Arabidopsis thaliana: one gene and its partner. The protein of the gene in region 1 interacts with the protein of each later gene in a pairwise test. Each region holds a gene or a part of one and is shown in the gene's direction. Other genes may lie near its edges.

Region 1 (5,940 bases):
ACGCTTTACCACCTTTTTTATGGAAGTTAGACCGATCAGAGGAGCAAGAATTGGGTAAACCGGGTCCACAAAGCTCAGGATTTCCTTGCAGAAAGGAAGCTGGTAACCCGGAGACCAGAGAGTGAGGTACCTCACCTGATAATCCATTGAATGACACGTTAAAAAGAGCAAGCTTTAGGTTCTGTAAGCCTTGAGGGATCAAACCAGTAAGACTATTATCAGATAGATCAAGATAGGTCAGAACATGTAAATCAGCAAGTGATGGCGGGATTTCTCCGGTGAATGCATTGCCTGCTAGAGACAAAGAGACAAGCTTCTTGCAGTTTTTCAGTTCTGGGATCTTTCCTAAGAGCCTATTGTGAGAGATGTTTACAATACTAAGGACAGGTGAGTCGCAAAAATTCGGCGGTAACTCTCCACTAAACCGGTTTTGTGAAGCAGAAAACTTATACAAGCTCTTAACCAATCCAAGACCATGTGGGATTTCACCAGAAAAGGAATTGTTGACTATCTCAACTTGCTCCAATGCAGAAGCCAAAGACACAGACTCTGGCACTTGACCTGTGAACCGATTATTATCCGCTCTAATAATCTTAATCCTGGGTAATTTCCACAACACAACTGGAAACTCACCAGAAAATCCATTGTTCTGCACTTGAAGCCTCTCCAGACTAAGGCATTCACCAATGGAGTTAGGCAATGACCCTTCAAAGAAATTCGAGTGGAGAGAAAGGTTAATAAGCCTTTTACCACTGCAAATGCCACTAGGGAAAGAGCCAGATAACTTATTCTGTGAGACATCAAGAGACACTAAGTTCTTGAGAGAAGGGCCTAATGATCGAGGAATCTCACCACTCAGGTTGTTCAAACTCAGATCCAAGGTTCTCAAACTTGTCAAACCAACAAACGAAGTAGGAATCTCTCCATGGAACCCTGACCTATGCAACAGAAGCTGTTCAAGCTTGTCTAGCTTCCCAAGAAAAGAAGGAATCTCACTAACCAAATAGCTGTTTTCAGACAAATCAAGAACAACAAGCTCACTTAGCTTCCCAATAGCAGGAGGGACGATACCAGTGAGCAAATTACTTCCCAAGTTGAGAACTTGGAGATTAAACAATAACCCTAAATCTTCTGGAATCATACCTTCGACATGGTTACTGCTAAAGTCAATAACTTTCAAGGAACTAAACTCAGAAATCTGATCAGGGATTGTGCCCCAGATGAGATTAGAGCTGAGATTAAGAGTCTCTAAAGTAACACAACGAGACAACTGAAGTGGGATAGGCTGATTGAAGAAGTTCAAGGAGAGGTCAAGGTGAGTGAGGTAAGGGAGGTCACAAATGGAGTCAGAGATTTCACCAGAAAGATTCAAACTTTGAAGGTTAATGGAAGAGACGTAAAGAGTAGGAGCTCTAGTACATGTGATACCAGTCCAGTTACAATGGTGCGAAGAAGAAGTGTTAAACCAACCTGAAAGAGAGCCTTTTGGATCATCAAAGGAGGCTTTGAATCTGAGAAGGTTACCAAGTTCCTCGTTCTCTGTGAAAGAGAAGGTCTTGGTGAAGAAGAAGAAGAATGTCAAGGCTAGTGAGATTGAAAACTGGTGCTTGAATCTGGTAGCCATTAATGAGTTAAGAATAGAGAATGAAGAGGATCTGCTGAATGAGTGAAGTAGTGAGAGAGTGAGAGTGAGAGTGAGAGTGAGAGTGAGAGTGAATTGAATTTCAGGTGTTGAAAATACGGGGTGGGTTTTGCAATTATAAGATAGTAGGGTTGGTTAATGGTAAAAATAAAGAGTATAGGGTTTAGTTTGAAATTTCCCGTTAAATTTTGGTCGAGGGTCTATGGGGAACTGGTAGATTTGTAGACAAAACGACGTCTCGGAGATTGGAATTTCGGATCGTGTCTCTCTCTGTTTCTTTGTTTCAATCCGATTTCGAATCAAGCCCTTTACTTGTGCACCTTCAAGATTTCGTTTTTCCAGGTCAGTTTCTTCATCAAGCCAACCTTTTTTTCTAGGGTTTTTCTTCCTTTGTTTTTTTTCTGGGAGTTTTCTCCTTCACAGTCCTAAGAAGCTACTTGTTAACTCTGTCTTTTTGCTTTTGAAGTTAAACCTAGTTGACTTTCTCAAGCTTAAAGAGTTCAGCTTTTTTTTTTTTTTAATTGGTGATTTTGTTCTTAATTTTGAGCTACCAAAATCATCGAATTAAATGTTAATCTCTTGAATTCTGTTTCGGTGGTAGTTTCTTGGTTTGAAATCATAGCTGCAGCTTCATGCCGAATTCTCACTGGTTCTAGATTTAGAGTTTAGCTTTTTTTTTTTACTTTACTCGGATATGAATACTGAGTAAGGAATTGAGTCAACTCGGATGTGAATACTGAATAGTTTTTGTTCTAGCTAGAGTTGCAAAACTAAGAGATTCAGCTACTGAAGCTACTTTAGTGTCATTCAAACTGAATTGAAATGATGTGTGTGAGTGTGACTGTACCTAATTTTTCAAACTCAGGCATTTTCGACTGTGCCAACACCTTAAGTCTCACTGATTTTGACTTTGATCCGCGAGCTAAGCTTAAGGTCTGAATGAGTTTCTCAGACTTTGTAGATTGTGCAAGCTACATGTCTGATTGGGTTTGATGAATTGCTTTAAAGGTTGTGTTTTTGATGGGCTATTTTTGTCAGTCTGTTAGCTACAAACAGATTGTTCTTATATATTTGACTTTGTGACTTATGGTAGTCAGCAGAATTTCCCTTAGGACACTTTGAATAAGTAAAGGACTCTTTAGCATTCTTTAGCTGGCTTGTTTAACTGAAACAAACTAGAGAACCTTTTTCTTGACTTTATAGGACATAATTGAAAACTATGTTAGCAAAAGAGATGGTATGTAATGCTGTTTTTTTTTGTGCTCATTCAGCGCAGCCAATGCTCCGGGTGACCAACATTTGTTCCTGATTCATTTCCTATTGATTCGTATTGGTAGGTGTTGATCTTTCTTTTATATTCTATCACCTAATTTTGTTCTTTCTGTCTTTTTTTCTTTTTCTTAATTTCCTTCCGAATCCTGGCAGTCTGTGCACACAAGAGAAATTTCAAGAAGTTGTTACTAAAAGAGAGGCCACAAGTGGATATTGTCTTTGTTATCAAGTGTTAGTACAGAAAAGTGGTGAGAAAGTAATATGGCTGATACCAGTCCGAGAACTGATGTCTCAACAGATGACGACACAGATCATCCTGATCTTGGGGTTAGCTCATAATCTGGCTAGATTTTATCACTTATATTCTTCAAAATAGTGTGATTTTTTATGGACCAAACAAAAATTCTGGTGTTAATTTTAATGCAGTCGGAGGGAGCACTAGTGAATACTGCTGCTTCTGATTCGAGTGACCGATCGAAGGGAAAGATGGATCAAAAGGTGACATGTCCATCTCTGTAGATAAGATCACTGTTTTTATTCAGCCAATTTATAATCTCTTTTTGTTTCCTTATATTTTGATCCATAGACTCTTCGTAGGCTTGCTCAAAACCGTGAGGCAGCAAGGAAAAGCAGATTGAGGAAGAAGGTATATTACCTTCCATTGGTTTTATCTTTTTTTACTTTTTCTTTTCTTTTTAAATTGGTGCATCGCTAGAAGCATAGCTATTTGGTACTACGTTAATTCCTTTTAATTGCTCCCTCCATAGGCTTATGTTCAGCAGCTAGAGAACAGCCGCTTGAAACTAACCCAGCTTGAGCAGGAGCTGCAAAGAGCAAGACAGCAGGTTCAAATTTGTTTCTTATTTCTATTGATTTTTATTTTGTTATTCTGTATACCTAACGGTAAATTTCTTGTTTCTAGGGCGTCTTCATTTCAGGCACAGGAGACCAGGCCCATTCTACTGGTGGAAATGGTTGGTTGCTTATTCTCCATTAGTTTTAATTATGTTTATTTTTTGGCTTCTAATTTGTGTATAAGTTAAGTTCATATATCAACTTCCTGTTGACTTGGTGTAGACTGATCAATTAGTACATCATATCTCATCCCATTACAATACACTGGGTTATCAGAGTCAGTGGCAGACTGACATGGTTCTGATAGCAAAAACTGTTATTCTAATTAGCACTGGTGTAGATTTAGATTTACAAGATGACGAATCTCATGGGTTTGTTTTGATCATGTATAAATTTTTTAATTCAGGTGCTTTGGCGTTTGATGCTGAACATTCACGGTGGTTGGAAGAAAAGAACAAGCAAATGAACGAGCTGAGGTCTGCTCTGAATGCGCATGCAGGTGATTCTGAGCTTCGAATAATAGTCGATGGTGTGATGGCTCACTATGAGGAGCTTTTCAGGATAAAGAGCAATGCAGCTAAGAATGATGTCTTTCACTTGCTATCTGGCATGTGGAAAACACCAGCTGAGAGATGTTTCTTGTGGCTCGGTGGATTTCGTTCATCCGAACTTCTAAAGGTGAGGTCAAATTTCACTTTGTCTTCACCGATTGCATCTGTTTCTACATAGAACATAAAAAGAATGGTCATAGGGAAAAATGTGTTGAAACAGCTTCTGGCGAATCAGTTGGAGCCAATGACAGAGAGACAGTTGATGGGCATAAATAACCTGCAACAGACATCGCAGCAGGCTGAAGATGCTTTGTCTCAAGGGATGGAGAGCTTACAACAGTCACTAGCTGATACTTTATCGAGCGGGACTCTTGGTTCAAGTTCATCAGGGAATGTCGCAAGCTACATGGGTCAGATGGCCATGGCAATGGGAAAGTTAGGTACACTCGAAGGATTTATCCGCCAGGTACAACACTTGTGATGTTTTGAGATGATATCTTAGTTAAGAGTATATATATATATCAATAGGTTAATAATCGTCTCTTGGTTGGTGGTGGCAGGCTGATAATTTGAGACTACAAACATTGCAACAGATGATAAGAGTATTAACAACGAGACAGTCAGCACGTGCTCTACTTGCAATACACGATTACTTCTCACGGCTACGAGCTCTAAGCTCCTTATGGCTTGCTCGACCCAGAGAGTGAAACTGTATTTTGGTCACATGTCAGCTGTACAAAATCCATATGGACACAAAACCAGGAGAGACTATTAATCAACACTTGTCAGATTCTTCTTACCAAATCCATCAACAAATAAGCAAATTTCTGGGAAACAAAAGACTCTTTGTATGTAGGTTTCTTCTACATGGTTGTGGTAATTCATGTTGTTTTAGTTGTAGTCATCAGTTTTTAATTTAGCATTTGAAAAGTTCAATGTTGTTTATATAGCATCTTCGATTATCTTAGAAAGGTTATTGAATTTTGTTTTTTTTTGTTACTTTTGTGTGTGGTAAAGGTGTTTTAACCTTGCAACTTCTGTACTGTAATCATTTAACAATATTAAGATGTTCTATTTGAGTTTTGTAGTTTCATCGCTTGTGTCTTAAATCTTATTTAGTGAGGATTCTAATGTAAACTTCCAAGAGATGATGAAAATGAATTTACATTCAAAGTAAGTGTGATAGATTTTTTTGTAATAAAAAAAGGGACATGTCATTGTCAAAACCAAGAATTATTTTGTTTTTAGAAAAAAGAGAGTGTTGCAATTTTCAGAGGACTTTTTAACCCTCAGCATCTAGAGGTCCACCATCACTTGAGTTTCGTCTTCCATTCCTGTTTTTTTTCAGAGACCGGCAAAATAAAAAAAAAGAAGATCGTACAACTAAAAATACCTCAAAGAAGGAAGATACAAAAGTAGTAACCTTTGTTGGTGATTGATACTATATCTGTTGTGGGTTTTAGACAAAGACCACGTCTTTGCAGTTGTAGATTGGAATTTTCCGGATCTTTCTCTAAATCGCTTTTTCTCCGAGCAACTTTTGTTTGGGGTTAAGCTCAAAGAATCCGTTCTTTTCAGGTGAGTCTCTTCTTCAATAGTCTTAGGGGTTTTAGTTCTTCA
Region 2 (3,062 bases), on another chromosome or scaffold:
GAGCTTCTCCCTGACCATGCTCGCGTCGTCTGCGATGGCCTCTACCGAGCCGTTGATATCTTCCTCAAGGTATAAAAGAGTCTGCTTTTGAGAATGAGTGTTGTATGATTTTGATTGCTGTGTTACGGTTTTGTATTAGGTTCACCCCCACATGAAAGATTCGGAACGTTACCGTCTCTGCAAGACAGTCAGCTGTAAGAAACTGTCGCAGGACGCAAGCAGCCACGCGGCGCAAAACGAGAGACTTCCGGTTCAGATTGCGGTTCAAGTCCTGTTCTACGAACAGACACGGCTCAAGAACGCCATGACCAGCGGCGGTGGCACAGGCGGTTCGAACCAAAGCCAGTTCTTCTTGTTCCCAAACCGCTCGGGAAGCGGGATGGCAAGCGGAGCCATCTCGCCGAGGGACAACTATGCATCAGTGAGAAGAGAGAACAGAGAGCTGAGACTAGAGGTGGCCAGGATGAGGATGAGGCTAACGGACCTGGAGAAAGATCATGTATCGATGAAGAGAGACTTCGTGAAGCCGCAGAGCAGGAGGAGGCGTTATGGAATGTTGAGGAAGCTCTCGAGAGGTCTGAACAAGTTGAACGCAATCGTTTTGAGATTTAGGAGCAGCCAAAGTGTTGCCAGTAGCGGTAAAAAGCATACGGAGGAGAAAACGAATTCGGAAAGACGATTCATGTTTCAGAAGAGAAGATGTCACTCTGTTTCTTGACTTGCTTGCTTCTTCTTCTTCTACTCTTTTGTAATATTTCTTTAACAAAGAAAAGACGAGAGTGAATTTGAGTGTGTAAATTTGTAATTTACAGATTCTAGAGTTGCATAATACATTCCCAAGTGTGTAAAGCTTGTCTTGTATATACTGTTCGTTGATGATGATATATTGATATGGATCAAGAAGACCCTTAACGGAAAACATTTTGTTCTAGTTTTGTTTCCAGCTCAATGGGGCAAGAATTAAGTCTTGATCCCTTTGTCACTTTTCTAGGCCTTTTCTAGTAGGCCTATATATTATATCTCATTGCGCTCAACGGCCCACTACAAATCTTCCGGAGTATATTAGACGTGAAAAAAACTGTGAGATTTTTTTTACTCACGGGCCTAATCTTTGCTTTATAGGTACAGAGAATTTGCACTATGTCAAGTGTCAACGCCTTGTGATGACAGGAAAAAAAAAAACAGAATATAATCTACGACCTACATAGAAGAACTATGGACGTCGAGATTTGAACTAAAAGAATCTAATTAACATGACTGGTCCTTGCGTTTGCCACGTCGTTGGATCCCCTCGACAAGGTAATATATCTACCTTACCTGTGAGATATTTTGTAAGGGAATATATACATTAATGACAAATATCTTGAAAAAAGAGAGGATGAAATCAAGTCTTGGTTTGGAATTTGGGTTGGTGATTCCACAACTCAATTGCTGTGACCACACTAGAAAAGTATTTTGGCTCCCTCTCTAACAGGTTGGCCAAAACGTACCTAGATGTAATGAAAATAACTATATAATTACTACTTTATTAATCTGTAACAAAAACAAAAAGCCTATGTTTTTTTTTTATTAGATGACATTTTTAAACACCACACCAGTCAACACCAGATTTTTGCTTTTGACCTTTGTATATTATTATCATTTTAAATTATACGTTTGAATAACTAACTTACAAAAAAAAAAACAATAAATTTCAGCTTTTTGTCCATAAATTTATTCCAAAGAAAAACTACTATATATTGTGATGTATAAACAAATGTCAAGGGTATGTGATGCTGCTGCCTGTCGCAGACCGAAAGCGACACAACTTACCTTTTTTGATAACATACCAAACTATATAATTGATCGCGTTCATTTTCCGAAAATATATGCCGAATGCGGCGGGGCTATAAATAATAGTTTGATCGATCGGCTTGTTTATCATCCATACTCAAGGCCTCGAATTAACACTTCTTTGTCACATCGTCGATGGAACGAGTAAGAGATTTGGCATCGGAGAAGGCGGCTGTGATATTCACGAAGAGCTCGTGTTGCATGTGTCATAGCATCAAGACTCTCTTCTACGAACTCGGGGCGAGTCCTGCCATCCATGAGCTTGACAAGGACCCGCAAGGCCCTGACATGGAACGGGCCCTCTTCCGGGTATTCGGGTCTAACCCTGCTGTCCCTGCGGTTTTCGTAGGAGGAAGGTACGTCGGCTCAGCTAAAGACGTCATCTCCTTCCACGTGGATGGCTCCCTCAAGCAGATGTTAAAGGCCTCTAACGCCATATGGTTGTGACTACATATCATCACGCTTCTTACTATCATTTATTCTACACACACTAGTTCATATTATGTCATCTCGTGAATAATACATACATATATTTATCTAAGCTTGCATGAATATTGAATTATACTTTTAGTAACCATATATATAGAAGATTATGCATGCTCCGATGCTCGTGGAGATTAATTATCAGTTGATACGGAGAAACTAGACTGTAATCAATCATCACGTAAAGATTTCTGTTAATATCGGAATATCATCTGGATTTAGCATAATATCTTCCGATTATAGAAAAAAATGTACGTAGTATAATACCTAACCGATATACAAATGAATATCGAACGTAACTATGCTATAACTAGTATATATATGATCGTTTTTGAATCAAACATAAAAGAGAATCTCGCTCATGAAAAGATTACTACACCCACAAAACAATCGAAAAGTAAGCCAAGAATGACGCAGCAGAGTTAACATATGCGTGTGATTCACGCGTGCGTCCGGCAAGAAAGACATTTCGAGAGAAGTGAATCAAACATTAGTGTAAGTGTGAAAGAAGAATATATAAAAAAGAAAGATGGAATAATTTTCTTTGGCAAGTTGGTGTTGGCGGAATCACCATGTACGATGCATATTGTTGATACATATATATACATGTTTATCACCGAAAGGTCCAATCTTTTTCATTTATCCTCACTTTGCGCAATGACTCAATCAAAGGAGATATGTTGAGAGAATCCGTTAGATTATAAATTGACAAGCCTCTTTTCTTTTTCTAGGGGTATTAATCATGC

Evidence for each region. Proteins that work in one complex are often made in the same cells at the same time.
Region 2: the proteins of AHBP-1B (region 1) and AT2G47870 interact in a two-hybrid assay, tested with the Arabidopsis thaliana proteins (one study listed by BioGRID).

Annotation. Positions count from the first base shown.
Region 1 is NC_003076.8:2,149,148-2,155,087, forward strand, and holds AHBP-1B (bZIP transcription factor family protein), read left to right. Parts: upstream 1-1,692; 5' UTR 1,693-1,984; exon of another isoform or gene 1,985-1,988; intron 1,989-2,161; exon of another isoform or gene 2,162-2,650; intron 2,651-2,913; 5' UTR 2,914-2,975; exon of another isoform or gene 2,976-2,979; intron 2,980-3,067; 5' UTR 3,068-3,175; coding exon 3,176-3,241; intron 3,242-3,340; coding exon 3,341-3,412; intron 3,413-3,500; coding exon 3,501-3,560; intron 3,561-3,681; coding exon 3,682-3,759; intron 3,760-3,836; coding exon 3,837-3,888; intron 3,889-4,175; coding exon 4,176-4,447; intron 4,448-4,540; coding exon 4,541-4,786; intron 4,787-4,880; coding exon 4,881-5,027; 3' UTR 5,028-5,439; downstream 5,440-5,940. Other genes in the region: AT5G06940 (Leucine-rich repeat receptor-like protein kinase family protein), read right to left, coding at 1-1,624.
Region 2 is NC_003071.7:19,601,371-19,604,432, forward strand, and holds AT2G47870 (Thioredoxin superfamily protein), read left to right. Parts: upstream 1-1,792; 5' UTR 1,793-1,968; coding exon 1,969-2,280; 3' UTR 2,281-2,525; downstream 2,526-3,062. Other genes in the region: SETH6 (Phototropic-responsive NPH3 family protein), read left to right, coding at 1-69, 140-718. UniProt on the Arabidopsis thaliana protein: Has a glutathione-disulfide oxidoreductase activity in the presence of NADPH and glutathione reductase. Reduces low molecular weight disulfides and proteins.